4 linked regions of the Struthio camelus genome follow. The protein of the gene in region 2 interacts with the protein of the main gene of each other region in a biochemical or structural test. Links are inferred from orthologs where the notes say so. Each region holds a gene or a part of one and is shown on either strand. Other genes may lie near its edges.

Region 1 (7,877 bases), on a different chromosome or scaffold from region 2:
AGACAGAATTTTTTTGTTGTTTTAAGCGTTCAGCAAAGTGAGAAATACAACATAACAGTGCATGAATGTGGTAACGCAACGCAAGTATAACACTTCTTGGCTAAGTGAAAGGATTCCAGCTTGGTAACCCTGCAGACTGAAGCCTTTTGTGTGCTAAACAGCAGATACATCACACACCCCACCACACTTCCAACTATGCTCACATCTATTGTCTGCAGGAACTTGGTTTTTTAATTCTAAAATGCAGTATTGATAACACTAGAAATTAGACCACCAAAATTAAGAGTCAGACTGACAGAGGGATAGAAACAGCCCGTTAAGACTTTCCTGGAAGCCCTTCTGGCCCCCTCGCGCCAGATTGCCAAGCTTTTCTGCATAACATTAACTGTGAAGTGTTCCCCACCCCACTTTTTTTTTTTTTTTTTTAAGTGATGCTTTATCCTGATCTTGTGCCATCACAAATGAAGGTTTTAACACAACAAAGCGACAGGCCTTGTGATAAGACCTCAGGACTAAAATCACTGCAACTGTGCAATAGGATACTGTTGCCTTGAATCATATCGACACCTCCCAGATTGTTCCCTAGAAACCCCTGTATCAGGGCGCCATTGTCTTCCTTGGGGCTGTAACCTTCCTTCGCAGCCCTGCTCAGTTAACTACACTTTGAGGGGGGGGGGGCCAACTGTCCAACTCCAACAGTCTCCCCTTCTAAGTAGGTAGGTCTCCAGCTTTGACTTCCCAAGGTTCACTTTTCCCCGCGCACGTAACCATCGGCGCGATCTACGTCACTCTGCAGATGAAGGGGCGCGCGGCGTTCAGAGCCCGACTCACAGCACGCGTCCGAGGACCAGCCGCCCCGCGAGAAGGCGGAGAGGCTCCAGGCAGGCTGCCGTGCCGGCCCGCCGGGGCGCGTCACACGCGCCCCGGCTTTGTACGGGGCTGCAGGCGCAACCCCTTCAACACGGGGCACAGGCGCACGTCCCGCAGGGCCTTCCTCTGGTACGTTAGGGAAGGGAAAGGCTACACGAGCGCGGCTCGTACATCAAATAGGTCAATTCAGAAGACGTGCCAGCCTACAAACTCTAAGGATAAAACAGCGAGCGTGCAGGAGCGCGCTGCGAATTGTTTGCAGGAATTCCAGGAATCCGAAGGAGGGAAGGGCCACGAAGCGAGTGATTACAGAGAGGAGAATGCTATAAAAACAGGAGGTAAAGGACAAACACGAGGAGGGCTGTCAGGACCGGACAGTAGGCCAGGGCAAGACAGGAGCCCTGTAAGGGAAACTGCAGAGGTTGCTGTAGGAACAAGGAGAGACGTTAGAGCCTGGAAACAGCAGAACCGGACAGGGCACCGGGGCAGCGGGCGCTGGGAGGGGAGCGGAGCAGGGAGAGCAGGCCGGCAGAGCCGCGAGGCCTGCGGCCAGGCGGGGGGCGAGGGGCGGCCGCAGGGTCGCGGGAGGCAGGCAGCGGCGGGAGCGAGAGGAGAGCTGCCCGCCGGGAGGGAGAGGCAGGCGCTGCGGGGTGGGGGCAGAGGCGGCAGCCCGGGGCCGCGCAGGGCAGACGCACGGTGTGACCCCGGGCCGCCGGGAAGCACGTGGGCAGGGACGGGGCGCTGCCGCGGGCTGGGGCGGAAAGGGGGGACGCGGCGGGGGAGGAGAGCTGCGCGGCAGGAACCCCAGCGGGAAACGGGACAGGGAGGGAAGGGGGAAGAGGGGCCCTCGAGGCCTCCCACCGTTTGGGGGGGGGCGGGGAGGCAGAAAGGGGCCTTCGAGGCCTCCCTCCTTTTGGGGGGGGGGAGGCAGAAAGGGGCCCTCGAGGCCTCCCTCCGTTTGGGGGGGGGGAGGCAGAAAGGGGCCCTCGAGGCCTCCCTCCTTTTTTTGGGGGGGGGGGGGGAAGGCAGAAAGGGGCCCTCGAGGCCTCCCTCCTTTTGGGGGGGGGGAGGCAGAAAGGGGCCTTCGAGGCCTCCCTCCTTTTGGGGGGGGGGAGGCAGAAAGGGGCCCTCGAGGCCTCCCTCCGTTTGGGGGGGGGGAGGCAGAAAGGGGCCCTCGAGGCCTCCCTCCTTTTTTTGGGGGGGGGGGGAAGGCAGAAAGGGGCCCTCGAGGCCTCCCTCCTTTTGGGGGGGGGGAAGGCAGAAAGGGGCCCTCGAGGCCTCCCTCCTTTTGGGGGGGGGGAGGCAGAAAGGGGCCCTCGAGGCCTCCCTCCTTTTGGGGGGGGGGGAGGCAGAAAGGGGCCCTCGAGGCCTCCCTCCTTTTGGGGGGGGGGGAGGCAGAAAGGGGCCCTCGAGGCCTCCCTCCTTTTGGGGGGGGGAGGCAGAAAGGGGCCCTCGAGGCCTCCCTCCTTTTGGGGGGGGGGGAGGCAGAAAGGGGCCCTCGAGGCCTCCCTCCTTTTGGGGGGGGGGGGAGGCAGAAAGGGGCCCTCGAGGCCTCCCTCCTTTTGGGGGGGGGGAGGCAGAAAGGGGCCCTCGAGGCCTCCCTCCTTTTTTTGGGGGGGGGGGGGGAAGGCAGAAAGGGGCCTTCGAGGCCTCCCTCCTTTTGGGGGGGGGAGGCAGAAAGGGGCCCTCGAGGCCTCCCTCCTTTTGGGGGGGGGGAGGCAGAAAGGGGCCCTCGAGGCCTCCCTCCTTTTTGGGGGGGGAGGCAGAAAGGGGCCCTCGAGGCCTCCCTCCTTTTGGGGGGGGGGAGGCAGAAAGGGGCCCTCGAGGCCTCCCTCCTTTTGGGGGGGGGGGCGGTTGCGGCCGGACTGACCCGCGTCCCAGCTGCTCCATGGTGAGGCGGAGGTCGGAGACCGGCGAGAGCTCGGCGGGAAAGAGGGACTTGACGACGGCGGAGGCGGCGGGCGGCGCCGGGGAGAGCAGCAGGAGGCGGCGGCGGTGCGAGCCCCCCGGCGCACGGTGCATGGCGGCGAGCCGACTCCTTCCTCCTGTCAGCAACCTCCCCCCCCCGCCCCCCTAACAACCCGCGCCGCTTTGACCCCCGCCGCCACCCGTCGCCCGGCGCGCGCGCGCCGCCCGCCCGCTCCGCCCCCGCTCCGAAGCTGGCGCCAAACTCCCTCTCCGCCAATCAGAACCAGCGTCTCCTCAGGGCTTTGGTGGGTGGGTGGGGTTTTTTTTTTAGTTCTACCCCGCCCGCTCCTTCCTCCGACCAATCGAAACGCCGGGAATCGCCTTCCTTCCCCTCATGGGCTGCTTGACAGCGCTTGCGGCCAATAGGCTTTGCCAGAGAGGGCGGCCAATGGGGTGCCTCGAGGAATAGGTGGGGGGGGCTTGCTTTGTGGCCGGCGGAGAGGACTACATTTCCCAGCATGCAACGCCGAGGCGGGCAACGCGTGGAACGCGTTGCCCGCCTCGGCGTTGCATGCTGGGAAATGTAGTCCCCAGCCTCCCTGAGGCGCCTCCAGTCAAGCCGCCCTCATGGGGGCCTGTTACTCACACTACTCCCCTCACTCTTGTCGCAGCCCTAAAAAAGGCCGGGTGCCTTTTTTTTTTTCCCCCCGTTTTTTTTTTCCCGGCGACAAGGGTTGTTTTAAGGCCCGTAAACCTTCTCACCCCGTCCTGTTTGGGGTGAAACGCCCTCCCGCCACAGGGTGCAGCATCCCCCGGGGAAGCGACACCCGCCCGGTGCCTAAAAATATAAAGTCACGGCGTATAACCACGAGTGGGAAACGGCCATTCCAGGCTGGAAACTTCAAAGGTTTAAAACAAAGAAAGAAAACAAAAAACGAAAAGCGGCCGCACGGCCTTGAGGGACCAGAAGGCTGTGCTGCCATTCAGAGGGACCTGGACAGGTTGGAGAGTTGGGCGGAGGGGGACCTCATGAAGTTCAACCAAGGCAAGTGCAAGGTCCTGCACCTAGGCAGGAATAACCCCATGCACCAGGACAGGCTGGGGGTTGACCTGCTGGAAAGCAGCTCTGCAGAGAAGGACCTGGGAGTGCTGGTGGACAACAAGTTGACCCTGAGCCAGCAGTGTGCCCTTGTGGCCTAGAAGGCCAATGGTCTCCTGGGGTGCATGAGGCAGAGTGTTGCCAGCAGGTGGAGGGAGGTGATCCTGCCCCTCTCCTCAGCCCTGGGGAGGCCTCACCTGGAGTGCTGGGTCCAGTTCTGGGCTCCCCAGGACAAGAGAGACGTGGCACTCCTGGAGAAAGTCCAGCGGAGGGCTACCAAGATGATTAGAGGGCTGGAGCACCTCTCCTAGGAAGAAAGGCTGCAAGAGCTGGGCCTGTTCAGCCTGGGGAAGAGAAGATTGAGAGGGGATCTCATCAACGTGTACAAGTCTCTGAAGGGGGAGTGTCAAGAGGATGAGGCCAGCCTCTTCTCCGTGGTGCCCAGCAACAGGACAAGAGGCAACGGGCACAAACTGAACCACAGGAAGTTCCACCTAAACCTGAGAAAAAACTTCTTGACTGTGAGGGTGACAGAGCATTGGAACAGGTTGCCCAGAGAGGTGGTAGAGTTTCCTTCCCTGGAGATATTCAAAACCTGTCTGGATGTGGTCCTGGGAAATATGCTCTAGGTGACCCTGCTTGAGCTGGGAGGTTGGACTAGATGATCTCCAGAGGTCCCATCCAACCTAAATGATTCTGTGATTCTGTGACCCACGCCGCGGGGGCTCTCTGGTCAGCTTTGTCCCATCTCCGGATGTTTTCCTTCCTCCGGGGAGCAGACCTGCGCGCAGAGCTGATGGCAACGCACGAGGGCACGTTCACGCAGAGGGGCCGCGATGGCCTCTGGCAGCACTCGCGTCCTCTGCCGTCCTGTCTACCGCTGAGCTGCCGGTCCCGCGCCCCCCTCAATCCCGAGGCTGACACCACCCCAGGTCCCCGCTGCTCCGCAGCCGCCGTTTCCCCTGGGCCCCTTTAATTTACCACCTTCATTGCAACGCGGTTTCATGCAGGCAGCTACCAGCACCGTTAGCAACTCCGCGGCTTCACCCAAATCCCCCCGCGACTCCCAGCCCCAGGGAGCAAGGGTGCAGGGCGGCCGTGTCCCCACGTCACACCACACGCAGCCAAAAGCAGCCAGCAGAGCTGTCAAAGACCAGCGTGGGCAATCGGGGACCAGGGCTGGAGCACCTTCCCTGCCGTTCCCCTACTTATCCGTGTGGCTGCGCCCTCAGCAACAACTGCCACTGTGAGATCTGGCCAGGATACCAGCACGGACACCCCCAGATAGGCCAAGCGCATCTTTAATGCTCCAGCAGACGAGCAGCAGCGGGAGCAGCAGCAGCATGCGGACACCAGGCAGCCCAAGCGGAAGGGGAGTTTGCCACGCGACGCCGCGCCGTCCCCACGCAGCCCTCCCGCTCAGCTAACCAAAGGCACGGGTAGGGGACCAGGAGGCATCCGACCCCATCAGTCACACAGCCGGATATAGGATTCCGCTGACCAGAGCCAAAAGTATGGGAAGACCTTCTCAGTGAAGGAGGCCTTGAACTGGAAGATCTGTGTCATGTTTTCCACGTTGTAGAAGGTCACTTCGCCGGCTTCGTAGTCCAGGTGGACCCTGATCTGCCGAGGCGCTTCTTGCAGGACCAGTGGGGTGGGGGGCATGGTAAGCGCCATGTACTGGCGATCCCAGTCCAGCCGCACGGCCCAGATCCCTCCCATGGCGAGGCTGAGCGCTTCCTTCCTCTGCACGGACTCCACGGCCACCCCCACGGCCCAGCTGTCCCCGTCCCCCACCTCCAGCTCCCAGTAATGCCTCCCTGCCGTGAACCCCTGGGAGCCCAGGACGCTGGGGCTGCCTGTGAATCTCTTGGGGGTGTCAGGGAGCTTTTGCTGTCCTTCCCCAAGACGCACGGTTTTGCCGTCCTTCGACAGGACCAGGTAAGGGTTTGCCGTCTCCGGGTCCAGGGTCACCTTCACTAACGAACGACAGAGGGAAACGTCAGTCCGTCGTCCGCCGACAGGCAAAGCAGTGCCTCTCCTGACATCCCGCAAGCAGGCACGCAGCACATGCAGCCCCCTCGCATGGCACAGGACCCTCCCCACCCTCCCTGCAGGGACCCAGAGGCTGCAGCCCCACGTCCACCACGGGCGAAGCTTGGCAGAAGCAACACTTCCCAGAGCAGGACTGGGCCAAGCAGCGTCCCCACGCCCCGGGGCTCTTTGACACAGAGGAGGATGCTCTGAATTCCTGCCGACACACTGCGCTTTGCCAAACCTCTGCTTCCCAACATCCCCGTTATTGCTGGGCTTAAGCATAACAGAGCTGCAGCACTCCCAGCCAGGCTGGGCACAGGGGTACCCGAAGGGCCGCAGGGGAACAGCCTATCGCCGGGGGAAGTGAGGAAGCGTTACGTGTGATGGTGCCAGGCCAAGCCCTGCTCCGCTGTCAAGGGACAAGCGCCCACCAAAGAGAGAAGCCGCTCCCAAGGCCCCGCTCTGCCCGCTAACCAGGCAGTCTCATTGCAAAGCCGGAGCCATCTGCTAACGCAGGATGCTCTGCTGCCATCCTGCGGCCGTCCCGCAAGGCCACAGAGGTGTCACCGCCCAGCACCACCACCCCGGCCCCTCCGCTAAGCCCGCTCCTCCTGGGGCCTCTGCTCGTGGCGGGGACCGCGGCTTAGGGGAAACTGAGGAACGCCATCCTGCGAGTCTGGTCCTCGGCCACGAAACCACAAGGCAGCGACCAGCCTCACCACAAACAGCTCCGACCAGCTCCGAGCCCTGTGGTGCTCCCAGGCCCGAAGGCACCCCCAAGCGCGTGCAGAGGCATTTCCCTTCTGTGCCTAAAAACCAGCTCAAAATGCTTATGGGCCCCTCTTGCTCCGGCCACAGGAACGGACCCACCTGCGTTTATCTACTAAATCCCTTACAAATCACGGCGAAAGAAGAGAAACTCTCCAGAGAGACAGCGAAGCCGAGGGCCCAGCGCTGCCCTGGCAGAGGGTCTTGTGCAGTGCTAGAGAACGGTGTCTCTGGCGGTTTCTCAGCTTGGGAATGGGCCTGCATTTTTATAGTGGGCCTAGTCAAAATGAAGGGACCTGGACTCAGATGTCATGGTGTGAGCCTATCTCTACCCTCTGGACATGAGGAAACTTATTTCAGGAAAGCTGTTCTCCCTTGCTTGTGCCCACCAGCTCCAGAAACTTACCCTTTTCTCTATCCATCTTGTTCAGCAGATTCACTAGAGGAAGGAAAGGGGGAGGGATGAGTTCTCTTTCCTCTTGCAGCCTCTTTCCTGCTCCCCTTAGAGCACTGAGGCCATCAGAGATGAAATCCTGATCTGGGCCCCACTGCCCACCTCCTGCCGCCCACCCCAGGCTCCAGCAAAGCCTGTCTCAGAGCTGCGGCCCTGCCTGGAGCCGGTGCGATGAGCCCGTGCCCTGGGCAGAGGCCACAGCGCGAGGATGCTCCCGGGAGCAGCTCTGCCACGGACACGTGTGTGCAGCGGAGACAAGCAGGAGGCACAGCTCGTGGCTTCTGCAGAGCCCCCTCCTAAACCCCCTGGGCACCAGGCGGCTCGCAGATGAGCTTCAGCAAACGTGTTCATTAAAGATAGCATGGCCCAGTGCCCTGGGGCAGCGGCAAACCCACGTGGGGCCTGGGCGCAGGCTGTGCAGCAAGATATCGCTCACTGCTTCTTTGCTTTACCTTTGAATTCAGCCATGGCACCCATGACCAGCTTGCTCGTCTTGGAGAGGCTGCAAACTCTCCTCTGCAGCTCTAAGGAAACCGGCTCCGGGATCGGGGCTTTCGCTGTCTCGCAGCTAGGAAGACACAGCAACGTGGAGGTGAGCCCTCACCACAGCAGTGAGCCAGCACCTGGGGCCAGGATGGAGACAGCGGGGAACAATCCCGTATAGCAAGAGGAAACGTCTGCCTGCAAAATTCAGCTGAGCTATTACTCTCCTCATCTCACGCAGGGTCCTGCGGCGCTCAG
Region 2 (7,981 bases):
TTAACACTGGAAATAAATTAGGCCTTCTTGAAAAGTAGAGGTAACTTGAAGAGGCAAGTATAATTAAATAAATTACTTAAACCTGGAAGTATTGGATTATATGTATTACATCTAAACACAGATAGCTTGAGAAACCAATAGAGGATATTAGCTAAATGTAATATCATTTTGCTGGCAGGTAATCTAGCCAATACCAGCCAGGAAGAAAAAGACCTTCTTCTCTTCCATCAAAAAGTAACATATACATTTGCACCCGGAAAAAAACAGTATTTCAAAGTGTCAAATATAGCCTTGATTTCTGAAACAAGAAATAAAACTGTGATTTTCTAAAAAGTATCTACTTCGGCCATAAGATTAACAGGGAACAAAATTTCAACATGACATTTTCTGCTGGAGTTAGACATTTAAAAAAAAAAAAAAACTGTCTGTCTCACCTGATATCTTGTGATTCAAGAGAGAAGCTCAAAGTTACTGCCAAAAATTAGGCACAGTTATTTTTAAGTGGAAAAAGTAATATTTTTTTTCTAGAGAAGGACAAAAATACTACCACCTACAAGGCTGTTTTCAACATGAAATGAAATTCAGTCGAAATCTGTATCAGAAACAAAACCACCCAAAGCTGTGGAGGTAGCAGGTCCCATCCCTACAAGGGATATTTGAATATTTACTACGATGAAATATCTTGGCACTTGGGAAAGTCACTGAGAAAAATCAATACTCAATAGCATAGTCCCCTTCAACCCAAACTGTGACCCCTCTAATAAGAAAACAGTACATGAAGCGTTTCACACACTTGGATGAACAGGATAATACATTGCGAATGATTCAGCATCAGTTGAGAGGATGCATTAGCCAATCTAGGTAGGTAATTGTAGCAACGCTATTACTGCGGTACCTAAAGACTTTTTGAGTGTAAAAGACAGAAACAAGAGACTTTCTAGCACAGTCAAGCTGATATCTAAGTTAAATAAGACAATCTTACATATTGAAACAACCTACTTCTGCTACATCTCCATGAACTGCAAAGGGGGAAGACTGAAAGACCTCACAATGTCCAATAAAAGATTTACTTTGTCAACATAACTAAAGTGAGAGGCAGGTATTATATAAATGCATGTGAAAGAAAAAGCTTAAGATGCGTTACACAAAAGCCTTTCTCACTCTCCTGTCAACCTGCAAACAAAAATGCCTAAACAGTTGGGAGGCAACAGAGGGAGGCTACATGTTCTGTTGCACTTTTTAGATTTGTTTTGCATATGAGAGGTTTTTCTTTTTTTTTTAATAAAATATTGAAGAACTTAGTTTAGCTTTTAGTTCTCAGTGCAGCCCCACCCTTGATCATTCTTTCCTTTGTCTTGTGCTCTTAACAGATACAGCTCCTGTAGGCTGCACTCTCTCACACTCAGGCCTCTCCCTAGTGCCAGGGACTTTTATTGTTTGAGTGGAACACAGCCAGCTGCAAGATGGACAAGAATTCCCTCAGGTAGCCAGGCCCAATCTTATGGAGGATTTCAAGTACCTGGAATAAACTCTTAGATGGGAATCTTTGCACAAGGGGTGGGAAAAAAGCAGCGTATGAGATGTCAGGATAATGTGTTTACAATGTCCTTTGGTGCAAGACAGAAACTTTTCAAGAGAAACTTTTCCGGATATGAAACTCACTATCTATCCAGATGCAGACTGTAATTACTAAGCTTGACCAAATGCACGCACAGCAGGACCTGGCATACTCCAACAGCCAATCACGCAACAAAGAGGATAATTTGTTATTACTTGCTTCCGTGCCTACTTAGCTATCCACAAAGTTTTCCCACTTTGTTGAACTGAGACTCTAGAAATTTGACAAGCTTTAAGAAAACTAGCAAAAGGGTCAAAAAGTCTCAAGAGAAACAAGTTCTACAAGATTAAAAGCCGCAAGCCAAGCAAGTGTTCTGAAGAGCAGTTAAAAATTAAAATTTGCAACTAGCATTTCCTCAATTTCATTTTGAGCATACGTTCCGAAGATCTAATAGAACTGCTTCTTCTTGATGAACTTAAACTTAACTCTGTACCATGGAAAGCACTGATCCAAAACAAACTTTTAGCAAGTGTTGCCATTCATTTAAGTAACATCCTTAGGGAAAGAACAGTTTGGGGCTAAAGTTAATACTCAAGTTGGTTGGCAGCAGTTTGTTTCCATTTCCAAATCTTACTGTTTGTAGCCCAAAGTTTTGAAAATACCAATAAATGATAAAAAAGAATGAAATAATGTTTTAACTCAAGTGTATCATGCCTCAAACCTAGAGTGAGCTAGCCACGCTCAAAGAACATCTTGGATGCAAGCACCCCAAGGCTATTTTCTGTGTCAAAGACCCACTCGCAAACCTAGACAATATAAGTGCTCTTTACATTCATTATCAGGGATACACAGCGGGAGGAGGCGCAGGATTAAAGTGGCAATACATACAGCTCTGGGGGCAGAGAGGCAGGAAAAACAGAACAAGAACCGCAGCGGGCTGGTGCGCACTACAGAAAGGGAGGCTCAAGTACACAAATAAAAGCAGAAACCCAGCGGACACACGCAGCGCCCCCTCCCCCCTCCCAGCCCGGTTTGAACTTCTCCCGCTCCCAGGCGGCACCTGCGGCCCCCCGGTCTGCGCACCGCGCACCAGACCCCTTCCCCAGCCCCCCACATTTCACCCCCTCGGGACAGCCACCTCCCCCTGCTTCACCGCAACGCCAGCGAGGGCCCCCCCCGGCCTGGCTCCCCCTTCTCCTCCTCCACCTCACCCCGCGCCCCTCCCCCACCCCCGCAGGTGCCCCCGTTCCCACCGCCGCGGCCCCTCACCATGAACTTCAGGGCCTTCTCCTGCAGCACGGCCTCGGCCGGGTCCATAGTCCTGCGCCGCCGCCACCGCCGCCGGGCCCGGGGCCGGGGTCGCCCCTTCCCTCAGTGCCAGGCCGCAGCCAGCGCAGACAGGAACCTGCGCTTCCCCGCGTCCCCCCCGCTCCACCTCGCCCCGCTGCCCGCGCGGCGCATGCGCCGCCCGCAGGCCCACGGGAAATGGAGTCCCTGGCCGCTCTGCCAGTAAGGGCCTGAGGAAGACATGAAAACTACGAGGCCCAGAAGGCCTCGCGGCCAGGGGCACGCCGGGAGCCGGCCGGCGCATGCGCCGCTAGAGGGAGCGGGGGCTGATGGGAGTTGTAGTAGGAAGGGGCTGTGGCGGGCGTAACGGAGGGCAGAGCCGAGCAGGGCGCATGGCCGCTGCGGGGACGAGGGTGGCCCCTTCCCTGGGGGCGTCTGGGGCCTTCCAGCCCCAACCTTCCCCGATGAGGTCTCGGCCCGGCTCCCAAGTCAGAGCCCTGCTCGGTTACCAATTAGTGCCTTGGGTGCGGCTAATTGCCAGGGTGCCTGGCACCTGAGAGCGCGCATAGCTGCTTACCGGCAATTTATGGTGCCGATAAAAGTTTCGCTAATTGTTTTGTTTTGCTGCAGTTGCGCTCAATGCCTGAGTGCGATTGATTTCTAAGTCAATTATTGCTTGTTTTAGTACAGCCCCAAATACCATCTAAAATGAATCTTGTGCACTGGCATATATGTACGTATGGCAAATATGCATAGAGTTGGTACCAAAAACGTTTGGTGTCTTAGTATGGAGTGGAAGTTGGGTCGAGCGGGTTAAGTGTTGCTTCCTGGCAGGGGAACATGAAATTGGGAAACCTGCAACACTGGAATGGATCAAGTAGCCCTACACCATCCCTGAGAGATACTTGTTGAAAACTTGCTGCAAAGACAATTCCTCACATGAAAACAACCTGCCACTGCCCTTGCACTTAGATTTGTTTCTAATAACAAAGCTAGATCTATTTTCTCTGAAAATTACACCTACTTCTCCTTGCTGTATAAAGCAGCAAACAAGAAAAAAAACAATTGACAGGAGCCCTCTTATAACAACTGTGCATAGGCTGGAAGGTGTTTACCATACTGTCCCCCTTTTGTTTTACCTTTCTCTACAGCAAGCACAGCACTGACTCTTACTTAGGGTGTGATCCGGTAAAACACTCACATTCTTTCTATATTTGACTCTGCATCTTAAGTGAGGTGCCTTCAATTTCTTCCTATTTAGAAGCCACAAACCTCAGCATTTACTTGTCAACATGCAACCTAAACCCATTCTCTTTGTCACTGTTCAATCTACAAAGTAAAGCTTCATGTTGCAGGAATGATACCAGCATCTTCTGATAATCAGAGCCAGGACCTATCTACCATCTGTTGCTAATTCTTATGAAATGACAGCAACCCTTCCCATATCTGGCATTTCCCATAACACTGCGGTGCTGACAAGTATGGGATCAATGTAACAGTGGGGATGGAAATTATTTTATGACAAATAAATCATTTCTAGCCCTCGTAATCGTGGGGAAAAGAATAATCTTAAAATGATAGAATCCATCAATGAACAAATACATAATTCTAAATGTTATCCCCAAAGCATTTTATTTGCAATACATTTCATTATTCTGCTGCGCACACTTCTGAACAGAGTATTTGGTAAGAATAATGTTGCCAACTTTACCGTATTTTTCTCAGAGCACTTGAAGTTACATCAGGGCTTGGGGCTTCTAGTTGTTGCAGTTTATAGAGGAAAGTCTAAAACGTGAACTGGCATTCATCCTGTGGTCCAGAAATATGAAATAAAGAAGGGACCCCCCGCAAACTCACCCTATTTAAAAGGAACCTCAGGATTTCAAAGCCAGCTTCACAGATTTTGAGGCCTGACTCATGATTTCTGAGTGTCTGGGACTGGTAACACCAACCTGTTATCACATCTGGTACTGAGGCCAAAAGCCGAGAGCCAAGGATGGCCTCGCTGTGTTGTTGCACGGTACGAAATAAGGAGACAGTTCTTGTCTGCAAAACACGGAGGCCAATTTGCCACATTCTACACACCAGCCCTTTCCTCATCTTCTTTAAACGCCCCTTCATATCCCTATTTCTACACAGGATAATCAGAGAGAAAAAGAGAAAAGATGCAGAGAATATGCCCATTACTGAACTCCTTGCAGGGACATGTGCCCTGGGTGGCATCTCTTAACCCAATGGTAGGAGTGTGTCCTCCAGCAAATTACCCAGCCCAGGTGACACTGTGACATGACTCCATGCAGGCGCCGGGGATGGGTCCTTGCCTTTTCCTCTCCGGTCAGTCGCAATGCTAGGATCGGGAAGGTGCCTAGAGCAGTGGCGCCAGAGAATGAGGCAGGGATAACCGTATGCCCTGCCTCTAAAGTCCCAGGAGGTAGAAATCTTCCAAAGACAGCTTCTAGGTCACCAGGACATGGGCTGCTATTCCTGGACTGTCCCAGCCACACTCCTGGTCATTGTACTTTAAGCTCAGATTCTCAGTGATGAAACACCTGAAATGCTTGGCTGTAATGGGCCCGGGCATTTTCCAGGATGCTGACAGCACTAAAAACACTTACCACAATTAGATAAGTAACAGTAATTACAATGAGTCCTATAATTACAAAGGGATGGCTCCTCTAACTGTGTTGGAGGCGGCTGGGAGCTGCCGAAGCTTGGGGCATGGCCGCTTGCGTCTCCTCCCTCTGGGCATGATGCAGCTGGCTGGGATGTAAATGGATCCTTTTTGTAGCAGCGTGAAGGGCTCAAGGGCTTTGATCGCCTGGTTTATTTGTCAATAATATTTGATGCTAGCTTAATTGTAGGAAAATTGAAATGTGTAATGCTTCAGCACTAGATACCACTGTCCCAAAGCCCTTTAGGCTGATTGATCTATCTGGACTGTAACTCATAGGGGTTAATTTCTCTGGGTCATGAAAAGCACAGACTTGTAGTGGGGCCAAAATGATAGTCAGTGTTTAGGTACTGGACTCGACCTTAGTGGAAGGAGAGCGCAACTCAGTTATTCTCTTATACAACTGTCAGGATCCCACGGTGCAGGCTGACCACAGAGGGGCAAGGGGCCAGCCTCTGCCCCAGAGCGTTGCAATTTATGTGTGGGTTATGAGGCAGTACGTAGCACAGAGAGATCGAGGAAGTAATCGGAGAGGCAGCGTTTAACCCAACAACATTCAGCACAAAGCATAATGCCTTAACACTTGAACCTTGCCTGGATTTCCTGTGTTTGCAGCCCAGCTTTGTAGCGCGTTCCTGCTGAGGGCTGCTCGTTGCGGCCGGTCAGCCAGCTCTGCGCTCCACCAGCTTGCCACGTCCAGCATGTCCCAGAGCAGGAGAGTGGCTAAGCTGCTGAGCTGTGACACCTACTGGAGGCTAGGGCTGAAGATCCCTGCTACAGCCCTGTGCTATTGAGGCACCCTCATCACGCAGAAGAAGGAGAGACACTGGAGAGATCTACAGCGTTCAAGGCATAGGGAAGGTACACCGCAAGTTCAGCAGATTTTCAATCAATTAAATAACATTTCATTTGGATCACAGGAACCAAGAGCCAGACAAGTGTGGCCAGTGCCGACTCTCTGTGACAGTAGAGCTGCCCTGGCCAGCTCCCCTAACTGCCCCCACCCCCCAATTCAAACAAGATCCTATTCTTCCCTTCCTGCCCTAAACACCCTCACTACAGAGTCTGTTGCATGAAGCGAGCCATAGAGCGCACAGGGAGCTTCCAGATGAAGGATGCTACCTAACAGTAAAGATATTACTGTGATTATTTTTGCAATAGCATATTGCTCTGTGCATTCTAGACTCTACGGACCACATCCACGCCTGGTGTAACGCCATGTTAATTTGCTGTGGCAATCATTAATTGGGTAAGGAACAGCTGGTGCTTTGCTTTAAGTGAAACAGATTGGGTCAGTAAGTAACTGTTTGGTTAAACGATGTGCAGCAGGTACAGCCCTGCCTCTTCGGCACTCCAGAGGGGTTTCACTTCTTGTCCCAGTGACCCTTGGAGGAAGCAGCAAGATTTGGCCATGAAACGTTAGGGAGCTTTAATCAGTGCAGTTCCTTTGGGCGTTATTGCCTGAATTTTAATATTTTGAATAATAAAGGATTATTTTAAATTAAATTTGTGGGCTCGCCATCTGTGTATGTTTGGCCTTGTTTTCCTCTGCTTTGGCAGTCCCTTGGCTTTGTTCTTTCCAGGTTGCAACAGAAGAGGAAAGGAAAGGAAGAGACAGGAGAGCAGACTACCAGTGTGGGAACCTTTTGCTATTCCCTTTGCCCTGCAAGATCTTTGGGGCCGCAACAGCCCTTATTGTAGGTGCGTCGTACAATGCTGAACACCCAGATAAAGTTCAATAGAGTTAGAGCTCGTGAGCGGGAGAAGCAGCTAAGTGTGAGACAGGGATACGGCACCCAGAACATGGCCAAGACCACAGAGCATGAAGTATGTTCACTCTGTGGCTGGACAGGAGAGTACCCATTAGCTAGTACTAATGAAGGGTGTGAAGCCACCGATATGGATGGGATAGGTTAGATGTCCAGGCACGGAGAGTGGTTGCTCTAGGCTGACTCAGTAGTGCCTAGAGAGAGAGGCTTGTCCTCAGATGAGTCAGGCTGTGGATTCAGATTACAAGTTGAGCTGAGTTTACACCTCATGCTGCTGCAAAGGGGAGATGCATCCCCTCTCCCACCTCTGCCTGGCCACATGCTTCCACCTCGCACCTTGAGCTAGCTCTGATGCTCATTTGCCAGCGTGGCAAGCTGTTTTAATTCACTCCACTGGCAGAAAGCAGGGATTACAAACCAAACAGTTCTTTGTTGGCGAGTCAAATTGGCTTTTCTTGTGATCAGACACATGTCAGAGCTAGCACGAGAGAGGGTGGGAATCACACCTGAGGCTGGGGAGGATAGGATGTGGTGGAGAGCTGCTGATTCAGCAGGTACAAGGTGAAAAGCCCCACGTCTTTGCCCAGTCAGGGGTCTGCTGACTGCCCTGGGGATAAGGGGCTCTCCCTGCTGGCAGAGCACCATCACTGCTATTGGAGACGCTGGAAGGCCAAGGCAGAGAGCCGCGGGACGTCT
Region 3 (6,933 bases), on a different chromosome or scaffold from region 2:
ATGCCTGGCTGACCTAAGGGCACAATTAATGACAACTGTAATTACGATGTTATCAATGTAGAACTTTTAAAAAGGCTACACAGCTAATTTAATGGACATAAAATTACAACTTCCATTTCTAAGATACCTGGGTCAGAGCTGACAGTGACCAAGATCAGAATTCCTCCTATCCATTACCTAACCCCAAACATTTTCTCCTCTTGTTTCATACCTATGTTATTTTGTCACTGAGGACCAAAGAAAAACTACCAATATGTAGAAAAAAAAGTTTCAAAGAAGCTAAATTTAGACTTTACTTTAGTTGCTTAAGGAAATAAATATGTTTTTCTCTCTTAAGACAAACACTTCTGAATCTAGAGCTGGCAAACATTTTCAGCACCGAAAGGTGGGAACATTTCAGCGGGTAAATTTTGAAGTGATCTATGAAAACATAGAACAACGAAACAGTATCTCTAAAGACTGCAGAATTTTCTGATCAATAGCTACAACAGCCTACCCTAAGTTAGTAAAAAATACATTGTTTTTCACTGTATCTTTGCAACTTCTATACAACATTTAGTATGGGTGTGTGTAACTACAGAGGCAGTCTGCACCACCGAATCTTAAACACCCCCGGCAGTACGGAGCATCCTTCATAGCGAAGACTCAAGCGTCTTCACACTGGGTTCCTCTGCTTCCAGGGTCACCAGTGCTGATGGGCAGGGTAACACAAATTTCCTAACTGCACTTATTTCTGGACCTTGCATGTCTCCATGTGACAGTTGCTTGGGGAGGTGTTGGGAAAAGGCAGTGCTGGAAAGCAGGAACTTTGCTTCTCATGAAAATTCAGAAATTTATTAATTACCAAATTCAAGTCAATAGCTGGTTGTAGGTATCCGTTACTGAATGTTATGAAATCACATAACAACATCTCACTGAAAAAAGCAAATTACATTATTTTTAAAAGATTAAGTACATAATAACATTGAAAACTAATTAAAATAATTGTTAACTTTCAATAAACAAAGCAAGAAATTTTTATACCTTACATATGAACGAAATATTGCTGTCTGTTTTCTACCCTCTCACCCCCTACCAAGGTGAGAACAAGGTATTGCTCTCTCCTAGCACACTTTTTTTTCCAGGAAACTTTTCTGATTTCAAATGTATACCAAAAAAACTCCATCTAGATGCTAATTTAACTACGCATCTCTATCAAGTATGAAGTTTATCTGCTACAGTATTATTTTTTAAAACACACAACTTGACACAAAATGAAACAAAGCCATTCTCAGTTTCATAATCTTAACTCTATCCAAAACGTACTCATTACTCACAAGAGAAACCAGTTTGATTTGTGATAACTACTGTTAAATGGACACTTCTTTCTTGAAAAAGGGGACAAAGGGTGGAAAGGAAAAGGCTTTCTTTTTCCATCGACTGGTTAATACTTCAGTTTAAGTTGTTATTTAACAAGTCTTGCGCATATCTCAGCACTGAGTTTCCTTGAAATTTCCAGGTATACCCTCTGGGGCAGATCCTGACAATAAAAATTCAGCATAAATGTCACTTAAATTACTGAGCCAGGAAAGCTTAGAGAAGCTGAGAATCTACAGGCTCATTTTTCCTCTTTCATTTTCTCAAATGTAGTCCTAACTGTACTGCTCAACTAAACTGTAGTACAAAACACTGCAGATAACTAAGACGTCATTCTAATTCTTTCATAGAATGGGCAGCTGCATTCTCTCTTGAAAATATAAAAATCTGTCTTTAAACCAGAAATATATTCTGACTAGCATATTATTCCAATAGTTCTAGAATATCAACAAAACCCAGACCTACATTTTCAACCGAGTTGTGCGAGCTTGACAGTGGCAGTTTAAGGCTGCCTAAGGTGGTGTAGCACCTGACTCTAGTGAAGTATAAGGTGATGTAGGGTATAAGGCGATTCAGCAGAGAATACATTCACTTAATATTGACTTAATGTTATTGTTAAAAAGAATAAATGAAAGGAGGACTTTGAAGCATAGAATTAAACATGCCTAACACATTATGCGCTTTAAAAATATGTGTTACTTTTCAAATGTAAAGATTAGAGCAAAGATTAGAGTATTTTTAACATAGAGTATTAGAGTATTAGAGTTTTTTATTAGATTAGAGTATTTTTAACCCTTAGCAAAGATTAGAGTATTTTTAACAGGAAGCTGAAATGCAGCACTGAAGTTGTGATGACCTCTAGCCTTAATCCTGCAAATGCTTACAGGCACTTATATTTTCACTCCTTTGAATGGAAGTACATACCAGTATACCGTATTAAAACGGCAGCCAAATAACACATAGCTCATCTATACTGAAGTTCAGAAATAACACTCTATTTTGTGTTCACATGGAAGAAGTCAATAGAGCTTCTTAATTGAAGAAATCAAAGCAGAAAGCGCCAACAAGTAAAAATAATGGTGAGGATGAACGGTTGAATCTCCTCGTTTTTAAGGCCACATGTAACAAAAACAACCATTCAGATCATACTTTTATATCATTGGGAGAACATTTCAGTTTCATTACTTACTAGTGCAATTTTAAAAAAATCCACCAGTACACCACATCCGAAAGCAGCTTTTTTTTTTTTTTTAAATATTCTTTGCGACATTCACTTGAAAGACCTTCTGCAATCCCCACCCAGGATCAGGACACCAAGGTGCCACCGGCAAAACCGTCTGCATGCTAACTTTTCCCCCCTTAAGGCCAGACAATGACCGTACAACCACAGATGCTCCAAACTGTTTCTCAGGTCAAGCCCGAACGCCACCTCTGAAACCAAACGCGCAACAACCAGCATACCCTTTGACAGCAAGCACCCCGCTCCCCCGTCAGCAGAAACGCCTCTCCAACTTTTTGCGTTTATTTGACAGCAGTTCACAGACATCTCTTCCAGGTTAGGACGTCCCCTTACAACAAACATCAGCAGAAAAGCCCACTGTAGCTGCGCTTTAAGAGTTATTAAACAGAAGAGTCCCGACGCGGTCCGTACGCGAACACGGAAGGCGTTGTTTAAATCCACAGCAAAAGAGAAAGCACAGTGGCAAGCAATCGCCCTGCCCAGAAGCTCCGCACCGGGAAGCGGAGGCCGCTCGTGTCGCCGTGCCCCGGACGGCGCCCGCGGGCAGGAGCCGCCTGCGCTTCCCTCTGCCGTGCTCCACGTCAGGCGGCAGCCGCGCCCGGCGGCACGGACGAGCCGCGGCGCCCGTCGCAGGTCCCCGAGCCCGCCAGGCTCTGCCCTGCGGCGCCCCCCGCCCGGCCCGGCGTCACCTCGCCACCGACTCCGCGCAGGAACGAGGAAGCGCCGGCAAAAAGGCGAACGGGCGCCAAGGAAGGGCAGGAAAGAGAGAGAGAGCAGCAAGCGACGGGCCAGGGGCTGCTGAGGGCTCACCCGGGGCAGGGCTGGAGCCGTCTCGTCGCGGTCGTCGTCGCCGTCGCCGCCGTCGTCGTCGTCTCCCGCTGGCGGGGCCCGGCCGCGCGTCCCTCAGCGCCGCGCCATGTAACCGGCGTGACGCCGTCGGCGCCGCCCGCGCCCTGGCTCCGCACGGACTTCCCCCTCCGCCGGCCCGCTGGCGAGGGCAGCTGAGCGGCACCGGCCTGCGGGGCCGCCGCCGCCTGCGCAGCCGCCGCCGCCGCCTCCACCTCCGCGGCCACCCGCCTGCCCCTGCCCCCCGGCCCGCCGCACTTCCTGACTGGAAATTCCCGCTGACGCTCCGAGAGCGCAACGGCCGCGCGGGCGGGGCGGGGCGGCAGGCAGGCAGGCAGGCAGGGAAGGGAGGGAGGGAGGCAGGGAGGGAGCGGGCAGCCGTTGGGGGCGCAGCCGTTGGGGGGGGGCAGGGAGGGAGCGGGCAGCCGTTAGGGGGCGCAGCCGTTAGGGGGCGCAGCCGTTAGGGGGGGGCAGGGAGGGAGCGGGCAGCCGTTAGGGGGCGCAGCCGTTGGGGGGGCAGGGAGGGAGCGGGCAGCCGTTAGGGGGCGCAGCCGTTGGGGGGGGCAGGGAGGGAGCGGGCAGCCGTTAGGGGGTGCAGCCGTTGAGGGGGGCAGGGAGGGAGCGGGCAGCCGTTAGGGGGCGCAGCCGTTGGGGGGGCAGGGAGGGAGCGGGCAGCCGTTAGGGGGTGCAGCCGTTGAGGGGGGCAGGGAGGGAGCGGGCAGCCGTTACGGGGAGCTGCTGTTGGAGAGGGGACAGGTAGAGAGGGCAGCTGTTGGGAGGGACTGGGAGAGAGCAGGGAGCCATTGAGGGGCAACTGTTGGGGGGGGCAGGGAGGGAGTGAGGGGGGGCACTGTCAAGGGGGAGCTGTTGGGGTGCAAGGAGAGAGCAGGCAACTGTTGAGGGGGAGCACTTGGAGGGATGAAGGAGCACCTGTACAGCACTGAACACTGCCAGCCTTCTTTGGAGGGGCTCTGTCTGTGGCTTCTCCCACCTCACTATGCTGGAAAAGCGCAGGAGGAAAAGCCTACCCTGGGCAAGGGAGGAGACAGCACGGAAGCAGGCAGGGCAGCGCAGAGCTGAGGAAGCGTCTGCCACCCACCCCTAGCTGGCAAAATCCCTCTCCCAGCTCCCAGGGCTCTCAGAACTGCTCTTGATCGGACAGGCCCTCAGCCTGAAGGAAGTTGTGTGACTACATGAGCCTTTTTGGCCTGGAGGAATTACCGCCACCACAAGAATAACCCTGTCCATGTTGAGTGACCCACGGGGATGCTGTCAAGACTTCTGTGGAGTCAGGCCTAACCAGGTGGCTGTAAATGTTTTTTTGTTTGTTGACCCCCAAAAAGTTTCTAAGGGAAGAGGGAATACACGTAGAGTGAATTTAAACCTACTAACATAATGCCTTTCTGTTACTTTCCTTTCATGGATCCTTTGTAAATGGAGGTTTATTCACTGCCCACCACCAAACATCTGAAAACAGTGCTGAGCAGGGGGTGCAGGCTACATGCCACCGTTGTTTGGTTTTTTTTTTTTTTTTTAGCTCCTGGCAGAGCAGACTTCCAGGTTAGTGGAACTTCTGTTAAATAGCACCAACCATCAATCATATACTGATTTTTTTAGTATCAAAATCTAGTGCCTTAGTACTGTAAGCAAATCTGTCAGGTAGATCTAAGGCTGAAGGGTGTACTGTCATTCAGCTGAGCGATCCTAACTGACCAGTACCATGTTTGGCCAGTCACAAATGTCGGATGAAATATTTGAATTTATTGAATTTCTTCTGAGGCTTAAACCTCCAGTTTGCTAAGAGTGAGGAGCATCTCAGCTTAGCAGCCAGTATAGCTCACCTGATGTGTGTTAGGCCAGGAATTCAACCATGCAACAGGGGAGTGCTGGTGGATGACTTTTGTTGTGCTAAGACTCTGCAAGGTAGCATATCTTCACCAAAGGATTATTCCTCTGAGAGATGAATGAGACTAGCAAAAATCGTAACTGAAAAGAAGGATAAAACAAATAACTTAATTAAATGGTGAGACTCATTTCTCTTATATTGAAGCAACAAACTCACATCCAAGGCAAAACTGAGGCCAAAATAAACAAGGTCAAATGATAAACAATCTGGGATAAAATCTGGTATATACAATAATATAATTATTAATAATTAATATTATTAATAATAATTAATTAATAATATAACCTGGGATAAACAATCACTGGGACAAAGAGACAGGGTTATTTTTTTTTACCAGACATGTCATAAAAGAAGACTATGCTGCTGAACACATCTAATCTATCAACATGGTAGCTGATTTCATCCCTGGAGAGGGAATAGATTCAGATGTTATACTTTGTGCCAAGATCTGAGTTGGAATAGAGATGTTATTTAAGATTAGTGCTGAGACTGTGAAAGGCAGCTTGGAAACACAAAGGATTTTCTCCATCTCTTAATAAGAGAACTGAAATCTCATACAGGGGATATATTCATATGTATGGTGAGAGTCATTTCCTTTATTTGGATTGTCACATCACTCTGTGATGCAGTTCTAGAAATGGATTCCCCCATTCTCTCCCCAACCCATTTTTTCATGACTCAGCATTTCTGAGTAAAATATGTTTTTCCTTATTAAAAAAAGCTACTTCTTGCACTCTCAGGACCCAATGTTCAGCTCTTCTGTGGAAGCAAGTACACTGAAGTGAGAGTGAAGAGAGAACTGGGTCCCAAAGCCCTGTGAGAAGGAAATTTAAATAGACTTTAAATATGTAAAGTGTTTCAAAATGAGATTCATTTGAAAGAAAAGGTGCCATGTCACAGCTAGTCACAGGTATGCTCACAGGCAAGACCTGTATGAACAAGTACCGGAAAATCAAACAAGGTGGAAAAGTTCCAAAACTGAAGGAGACTTAACTGGTGGATTTATTTTAAAAGGACACATTGTTGACTACTTCAGGGCTCAGCTTTCCTAGTAAAAGCCTAAGCAGCTTCCACAATGATCTAGCTTTTTTTTTTTTTTCTTCTCTCCTTTTGGTTCCCTTCTCAGGTAAATTCAAAACATAACTTTGTCTTTCTTATAACTCACCACTGTAACAGAAGCGTTACTTCCACTGAAACCCACAACAGCATCAAGCTGTAAGTCCATAATGGTAGAATTACCTTCTCAGAACACCCTGGATACATGAATTGCTTTAAAGCATGGAAACACTCACCTGAAAAGTCAAAAGATATTCTCCCCCCCCCCAGACCTGTTTACAGCCAGTAGGTAAACTAGGCAGACTATATGGACTCAGGTGCCAGCAGTTTGCTGTGATTCCTGCAGAACACAGGGCTGCGCTATTACCATCAAGATACTTTAATACCTGAACAAGATCAGCTCACAGATGAAGTGCATGTGCTTAAAGCTCCACCTGAGCAAGTAAACACTTATGTTGCTGAGCTGAGGGAGACATTGTGAAATTTTTCTAGCTGTGTCCCAGTCTCTCTTACTGGGAAGCTGTATCAG
Region 4 (7,951 bases), on a different chromosome or scaffold from region 2:
CTAGATTTGGAGGCCACGTACTTTGTATCAAGATTACATGGGTTACAATAATCTAGTTAGATGAATTTTGTTTTACATTGAGCCTTGGAAGCGTATCAGTCCACAGAAAGCAGCCAGAATTAATATGAGAATTACTAGCAGAATTACAGCAGTACCAGTTCTCCAAAATCAAATACAGAATTTATGCAATATTCCGCCGTCACAAACCTGATGATATAGCCACCCTTTCATCACATAAAGGGTAACGGCATCCTAATTAAGAACTCATGCCTTATGTTCAACAGAAACAAACTAATGAATTGAATATGAAGATGCTATAAAGTGGGATGCGACAATAGTCTTTTGCCTCGTGTATAAACTAGCATCAGTAAACAATTTATTTAATGTAGAAGTCACGTGGTATAGGCTGTACTGGATTTATAGCTACTTGCAGTTTAGAATTAGCATGCCACAACAGCATAACCATCTCACTGGCTATCATACAAGCTTGCTATACTGCTGCTGGAACCATAAACATATTCTCATTAGTGGCCCATGGCAATTTATATCAGAGAATAGCTTGTGTCACACCATAGACTGAAGAGCTGCTGCTGTGCAGCCAAATGTTAGCTTTTTTTAAACAGATCTGTAACAATCTGGCTACTTTGTTATGACAAAAAATCTTCTCCATGTACAGACTGATACACAGGTACCCATTTTATTTATGGTTTACCAAACTCAAGGGCCTAATTCCCACCAGTATCCTAAGCTTAACTTGAAAAATTCCTAAATCTGCATTTTGAAATGCCTACTGCCTAGATTATCTAAGTTTTAATACGCCCATCATTCACAAAGTCACATTTAATGGCTGCTAAGCTAGTAAGACAAAACAGGAATACAGAATTGGAAGTCTTTACCTACTTTCAGTGCTGAAGGTCACTGTATGTAAAACATATTTCAAGTTTCTTTCCATTATCTTTCTGAAGAAGGGCAAAATTGGGTCCATGGTAGGATTTTTTAAACAATACTTATTATTACGCAATAACTGCACACAAAAAGCCATTGCATAGCTCACACAGAATGAAACCTTTGGTGAAGAAGGGAACTGTGGTGAAGGACAGGCAGCTCTTCCTTGTCAGAAGTGAGAAATTAGTTTAATATGCACAAAAGAAAGACAGAAGGGAAAGAGATCCTCTCATTAAATGCTCACCATTTGAGCCCTGCTTAATATGTTGACTGATAACTAGCATACGCAGTTGCAACAAGCAGAGGCCATTCCAAACAATGATGCCCATCTGTTATGGTAGCACTTTAGACTTAGAACTTCCAGCTGCCACTTCTGGTTAGATGTGCCACATTATGCATAGCCTTGCGTACCAAATGAGCGCTGCCTGAACTCCCTGATCATGACTTTTGCAGTGTGAGTATCATCCCGCATGCGCATTAACTGGCTGAAGTCCTAGTGACAGAGCGTGCATGTGTACATGCAAGTGCGCAGTCTTTCTTCATGCCCTAAGACAGGGGATAAACCCATTTCAGAAAGTAGGCTAATCTTGCTGTTTTATTTAGAGCAGGCATCTCAATGTTTGAAAGCATCGTGCATGTCATGTCTGAAGACTATGAAGAGGACCCTAAGGTGACAGTTAGTTTTGACTTCCTACCTCAGATCATTCAGAGTATCCTATTTAGGAAACTGGTGATGGTCATCACCAGCCTCCCCTTACTGGCCCAATTTCCACAGCCTAAGTGGTTTTATAGAAGTTATCCCTTTTTGCTCTAGAGGGACCGAGCCTAACACTTCACCACGACATTAGCATCTAATATTATAAACTTCTAAGCTCTAATCAGTAACTCCTTGTTTTCTGGCAGTCTGACGACGATATTTTTGAGCAGGAATGGAGCAGAAGGTGAAAAGAATGAACGATCTTTCCCCTCTCCCAGCCTAAGTATAGACATGGACGCAAAAAGCTCCATCTCAAGAGATGATTCTGTTCATATGCTTAAGTGTCTCATGCTTTGGCCTGCAAGGTACACATGTAAGCACATCACTGTCCTCTTAGAGGTCTCTAGAGGAGTCAGTACAGGGTCTCCCCATGTAGAATTAAGTGCATATTAAGGCCTCTGTAAGTTGAACCCTTACAATCCCAGGAAAGTTGGAAATGCTGAAGTATTAACATTTTAGACCAATGCAGGCCTCCCTCATCTCTTGCAAAGACTCCAAAGCAAGCTGTATGAACTGAGCAGTTTTGTGCTTTTCATCATCCATGGCTGATAGCCCCCTCAACCACTGCTGTACAGCACGTGGCAGCTTTACCGTGTTCCCAAGAGTAACGAAGCGCTGTAAAATAATAGTAAAGTTACATGTGGTTATATGCTACCATGACCTGAGGTCAAAGCAGTTACCTGGTTTTCATACTGCTTTTTTCTGTTCATTTCCATTTGGGCAATTTCTTCATCCGGATCCTGCAAGAACTACAGAAAGGGAGAGATAATTTCAAATTACAGCGACGGAGCAGGGGGAAACGTGCCGCTCGCGACAGCGGCGGGCGTCGGGCCCACCGGGGCGGGCGGTGGGCAGACCACCGCCTGCCCACGGGCGGCGGGGGCCGCGCAGAGCGGGACGAGGGGCTGCAGGCCCGACCTCGGGGCAGCCACGGCGCAGAGACGGGCAGCGGGGCCGCAGCCGGCCCGAGCCATTTTGCCGGCTGGGTTCGCACTCACCGTGGCCACATCGGCTTTCCTCTTTCGGGCGCGCACGGCCCCCTCGGCGCCCCCTTCGCCCTTGGCGGGCGCCTTCTCCTCGCCGTGGTCACTGCCGAGAGAGGAGGAGAAATGGAGGCAGCGGCACCCCGGGGCGGGGGCCCCCGCGGAGGCCCGGGCCTAGGCGGCGGCGGCGCGGCCGCCCGCGGGACTCACCTCTCGCGGCGCATGGTGCCGGCCTGGGCCGGGGCGAGCTGCGGCCCTGCGCGGGCGAGGGCGGCCGCTGAGGGCGGGCGGGCGGAGCAGGCCGCCGCCGCCGCCACAAAGGGCCGCGGGCGCGCGGCGCGGGCAAGGGCCGGGCACCGCCGGCCGCAGCCCCGGCCCCGCCGCCCCCTGCCCTGCCCTGTCCCGCCCGCAGCGGCCCGCGCTGCCGACCCGCCGGCGCCTTCCCGGGCGAGAGGGCGGCGGGCGAGGGAGGGAGGGAGCGAGCGCTGCCCGCCCGGCGGCAGCGGCGGGGTGCAGGGCAGGGCGGGAGCGCGGGCTCCGCTGGGCGCCTCCTGCCTCACGGCGCGGCCGCTCCCGTCCCTGCGCACAGCGCGGCCCGCGCCGAGCGGGACATTTAAACGCGCGGCGCGGGGCCGCCTCCCCGCCCGCCCGCCGGGCCGCACACGTGGCCCCGCGCCCAGCGCCGGCCCGGCCGGGGCGGGGTCTGCGGGGGGGCGCGGCGCGGCGCGGCGCGGCGCGGCGGGGCGCCGGGGCCAAGCGGCGCAGGGCGCCGCAGGGCGCGGGCACCCGCGCGGCCGGGCCGGGTCGGGCCGGGCGGGCGGGGCGGGGCGGGGCCGCGCCGGGGGGAGGAGCCGGCGGGCCCGACGCGGAAGCGGCGGCGGGAGCTGCCCGCGGCGCGTCGACAGGCGGCGGCGAGGGCCCGGCGCGGTCAGCGAGGGGCGGGGCGGGGCGGGGCGGGGCAGCACCGCCGCCATGACGGTGCCCTCCTGCCCCGCCGGCCATGGCGCTGCGGCGGCTCTTCGGGCGGCCCCGCTCGGCCGTGGTCGGCGCGGTTCACGCAGCCGCGCTGCCAGGTAAGGTGCTCGCTTCCCCTCGCCGGCGCCGCCCCCGCCCCTCTGGGCCGCGCCTGAGCCGGGGGCGCGGCTGCCGCTCGTCGCCGGCGCGGGGCAGGCCCGGGCCGGGCCCCGGCGTGCGGGAGGGGGCGGCGGCCGCGGCCGCGGCCGGGCCCCAGGGAGCCGCGGAGCATGGCTGCGCGCCCGCAGCCGAGGTGTTGGCCGGGCTGGGCGCCTCGCTGCTGCGGGGAGGAGGTTTGGAGGCGGCGGGTGGGGTGGGGGGTGGCGGCAGCGAGCGCGGGGACGGAGTAGCGGCCGCCGGCAGCGCTGCGCCCCGCGGTTGGGGCGGCCGCAGCTGCAGCCGCGGGGCCGGGCCCGGAGCCGCCCTGCCCCGCGCCTTCCCCTTCCCCGAAGCAGCTTCCGAGCACCGCGGCCAGCTTGCACCGCGCCATGTCGGGTTAAGTCGGGCTAAAGACTGCCAGAGGAGCTGTTCCGAGTGCAGATCTCAGGCTCCAGGTACCTGGCTTTAGGAGCCCACGTGGTCAGAAAAGACTTCAGAATTATCTTGAGGAAAACTTTTGCTTTTTTCAAGCAAAACCCGTGCTGAGCGTTCTTTCCTGTCAGGAAGTTCTTACTTCAGGAGTAGCTGAAGATCAGACGCTACCAGCCTTGCAAGTTAGAGTTTTAATATAGTTCAAACAATCTTAAAGTCAGCTCGTGTTTCGTGCAGGTGTTCTGCAGAGCCAGTGGTCTGCCCTTGCCCTAGGTTATGTTGCATGAGCATCACTGATGAAGGATTAGCAGTAATAAGTACAGCAATGACAAGCTAAAGGCAGATTGGGTGCAATGAGAGATTATAGTGGATGTTCCTCAAGTTTGAGAACTTGGTTTTAGGAGCTGAACCGCGAGAGTGGATAGGTCAAGTTCAGTTAAGGAAAGAGATGCCGTTAAGGCATGCCACAAGGAGACACAGCAGCCTTTTAGCAAGTTTACCTGTTCCTGCCTATTTCACTATGCTAATCCCTGCAGTTATCTTAACTGAAAACTTACCCTGCCTGGTTTTGATTTCCCCTTGCACTGGGGTAAGCAGCATTGTTCTTGCAGGGACGCCGAGAAGTTCTCTTCCGTTGACCCAGATCGTTGATCAAGCTTGTCGAGAGGCAGAAACTTACAAGGATGCCGGAGTTGTAAGTATTGGCTTTCATTCTTCTTGTGGCAGTATTTACGCAAAGCTGCTTCTTTATAGCTAGCATTTAAAACGTTGAGTCCAAGTATACCTAGAACTTACTGAAAGCATCTTAAACACAGAGTTTAGGAAGAAGGTCAAAATACAAGATGTAGTTTTAATAGAGTAAGCCTTCTTAGCTTTTGAAACCTAAGCCATGTATTGAGTGCATGCAGAGCAATTGAAAAAGCTGCACAGTTCAAGTTACTGAAGTAGGATTGCTATCAATTTTTAAGAAACAAGTCAATTAAAAAAAAAAAAAGCAGATGGAAAGTTGACTACGACATTTAGTGTTGCCAGCATTTTAGGTATCTGGCTGTAGGAGGCTTCTTACAGTCTGACAAACCACTATATTTTTAGCTCTATGCAACACTTTTTGTGAACTCATGGAGGATTGGCATGTGCACAGGCATGGCTCAGTCACTTGTAGGCAATAGGATTCTCCCATGGTTGTATTTGTGCTGCTTAGACCCTTTTCTACCCATTTTAATCCTTCCATCATAGCCCTCTGGCAGAGAGCTTGCCTGTTTTGCATATCTAGAGGAGGCCCAAAAGGCGGCTCTCAGCCAGAGGCTAGAAAAGGCAGGTACTACTGCCTGAATTGCCATTGGACCTAAGGTGGTGTAGTAACCTTCGTAGGTCAGCAGTTTTTAAACAGAGTTTATGTCCCTTTGAAAGGTCAGGTATGTTTTAAAGTTCATTGCATCTTGCCTTCGTGCATTGGTGTGCTCTTTCTTTGACCTGCCTGCAGTATTGCTGGCGTGGTAGCGTGGTTTCGTAATGTCCGAGACTTAAAAATGGCTTAAATGGACAAGTAGTCAGTGCTCTGAGCTGCTCTTTTCTTCTAAACTTTAAGAACAACCCACTTGAAATCTTTTTTTTTTTAATGGCATAACTTTAAATTATACTTTACAATCAGAGCAAGATTGGATCTAAACTTAATCTGAATTACAGAAGGCCAAAGTCAAAATTCTTGACAAGTCACAAAGCAGGTTATGAACAGAGTAAGGCTTAATTAGGAAAGAGTCCTGAGAAGTAAATTGTTGAAAGGATAAACAGTGTGGAAGAATCATGTTTACGTAGGCAGGTTTCAGTGCCCGTGAGCCGGTCAGGCATGTGTCTACTCGGTTAGAATAATCTTCAACTGCAAGATCTGTGGAGTAAGTCAGTTTTCCTCCTTTCCGTACTTTCTGAAAGAAAATATGTACAGTAGTTCTGTGTAAAGTGAAGTAGTTCTGTACTATGACTGTATGTTTTGTCTTGGCAGTTGCAGGATCGGTGTGAGGTACAGGATGATTTGATCCACATCAGAAGAGTGGCGAGTAGTAGTTGGTCTGCCTTCCTGCATTAGAGGAAGTGCTTACATGAGTGACCTATAATTCTCTTAAAGTCATTGTCACACGTTCCATGCTTGTTTACCTGTTTTCCTTACATACTGATTATACATTGAAACCCTTAGCAGCAGAGCGAAAGCACGATGTAAAGCAATACATAAAGTTGAGGGAGGGTAGAGATGCAGTTACTTTCGTTGCTGAAATGCATAAAGCTGAAAGCGATTTAAGAGAAATGTTAAAATCGCTATTACCACAGAATTTTAGTTCCTATTTTACACCTTGTTGTCTTTTCAACAGTTGTAATAAAGCCTGCTGTTCTAACTGGTCTATCTCTTCTCCTCCTGTATTGCAATGACTGAGCTCTAGTAGATTTTAGAACTAGCTCCCAGGTAGACAGGTGCATGACAGTCATTTCTCTGCAGATTTAGAGAAATTCAGGACTTAGTATATTTCATTGTAGGGCTCTTGAGAGTGTCAGTAAATATTCCACAATAATCATTCTGAAGTTAAGTAGCTGAACTTATAGGTCCATACATAATAGTGTTACAGCTGTATAACAAAAAAAGTCTTTTATTAAGGCATAAAGGTCAGAGATAAGGAAGAGAGCTTCCATAGGTATCAGTATGGTTGCCTAACACTTTCTGGAATTCAGTTGTCTAGCTTTTCCTCAGTACTTGAGAGAGACATAGGTTTTCATGATGGATACTTCAAGAGATTCCTGGCTTTTGCATGTAGATCACCGCTCTTCCAAACTAGATTTTTTGCTTCCCAATGGGAATATGTTTGTTTCTCCCCTTCAGTACTGAAGAGTAAACTGCTAAATTATCTCTCTTTTTCTTGTGGAAAAAGACCTAGAAAGTTACAGCTTTTTTTTTTTCTTCTCTATGGATATATTCACTGACTGCAGTTCCAAATGCTGCTTACCGTAGTCTTTAAGATGTATAACCATCTTGTTACCACCAGGAGATGTTGGGATATTGTCTCGAGTTACTTGAATTAGTGTTAACATTCAAAAGTGAAGTATATGGTCTCACTCAACACGTATTGCGCCTGACAGTAAATTTTTATTCAGCAAAAAGTGACTTATCTGGCACGTTAGCAGTTTAACATAATAAATATGAGAGATCTGTGGTATTGGAACACAATAATGAAAACAAGTGAGTGTTCAGATAGGAAGTCATCTGGGCTGAAGACGTATTATGCTTTGTACTTGTGTTGCTGAACAATGAAATTCCCTAGACAAGACTTTATAAGCAGCAAATTATGAGACGTTATGCTCCCTCCCATTTGTATTTTCTTTTGTTTAAAAAAAAAAAAAGTAGTGATGCAAAAATAGAGTGCAAGTTACTTAACTTTTATTCACTCCACTCAGCCTGAGGGAAGCCTGCTTTGTAGCCAGAAAAAAGCAGAGTGGAAGTTTCTGTTCATTTCACTGATGTAACTCGCTTTACTAGTTACCATTATTATCTAGTTGCAGCTACCTGAATAGCTGACAGGAAAGACTGTTAAAGATGCACTTTTTCCAAAAGAATTATTTTTATTTGAGCTTTTAAAATGCAGTATTGTGTTGCAAGTATTATGTTGCTTGTCACCAAGCAAGATTTCAGGTTTGCTTCTTTTGCCAGTGTGGTCTCTGCAGATGCCTTTGTTGCTAT

What was found.
Region 1: of the proteins of BTRC (region 2) and CDC25A, one has a biochemical effect on the other in vitro, tested with the Homo sapiens proteins (3 studies listed by BioGRID and IntAct, with this or other methods). The link is inferred for Struthio camelus from reciprocal best matches to the Homo sapiens genes BTRC and CDC25A.
Region 3: the proteins of BTRC (region 2) and NFKB1 form a complex in vitro, tested with the Homo sapiens proteins (3 studies listed by BioGRID, with this or other methods). The link is inferred for Struthio camelus from reciprocal best matches to the Homo sapiens genes BTRC and NFKB1.
Region 4: of the proteins of BTRC (region 2) and CCNE1, one has a biochemical effect on the other in vitro, tested with the Homo sapiens proteins (2 studies listed by BioGRID). The link is inferred for Struthio camelus from reciprocal best matches to the Homo sapiens genes BTRC and CCNE1.

The regions. Positions count from the first base shown.
Region 1 is NC_090943.1:992,596-1,000,472, reverse strand, and holds the start of CDC25A (M-phase inducer phosphatase 1), read right to left. Parts: upstream 3,015-7,877; 5' UTR 2,893-3,014; coding exon 2,741-2,892; intron 1-2,740. Other genes in the region: E3 ubiquitin-protein ligase TRIM7-like, read right to left, coding at 5,345-5,856, 7,089-7,121, 7,589-7,704. UniProt on the Homo sapiens protein: Tyrosine protein phosphatase which functions as a dosage-dependent inducer of mitotic progression. Directly dephosphorylates CDK1 and stimulates its kinase activity. Also dephosphorylates CDK2 in complex with cyclin-E, in vitro.
Region 2 is NC_090948.1:16,134,278-16,142,258, reverse strand, and holds the start of BTRC (F-box/WD repeat-containing protein 1A), read right to left. Parts: upstream 3,002-7,981; 5' UTR 2,876-3,001; coding exon 2,828-2,875; intron 1-2,827. UniProt on the Homo sapiens protein: Substrate recognition component of a SCF (SKP1-CUL1-F-box protein) E3 ubiquitin-protein ligase complex which mediates the ubiquitination and subsequent proteasomal degradation of target proteins. Recognizes and binds to phosphorylated target proteins.
Region 3 is NC_090945.1:27,039,490-27,046,422, forward strand, and holds the start of NFKB1 (nuclear factor NF-kappa-B p105 subunit), read right to left. Parts: upstream 3,015-6,933; 5' UTR 2,939-3,014; coding exon 2,818-2,938; intron 1-2,817.
Region 4 is NC_090951.1:14,457,006-14,464,956, forward strand, and holds the start of CCNE1 (G1/S-specific cyclin-E1), read right to left. Parts: upstream 3,015-7,951; 5' UTR 2,910-3,014; coding exon 2,896-2,909; intron 2,792-2,895; coding exon 2,701-2,791; intron 2,452-2,700; coding exon 2,383-2,451; intron 1-2,382. Other genes in the region: C10H19orf12 (protein C19orf12 homolog), read left to right, coding at 3,686-3,758, 4,842-4,924. UniProt on the Homo sapiens protein: Essential for the control of the cell cycle at the G1/S (start) transition.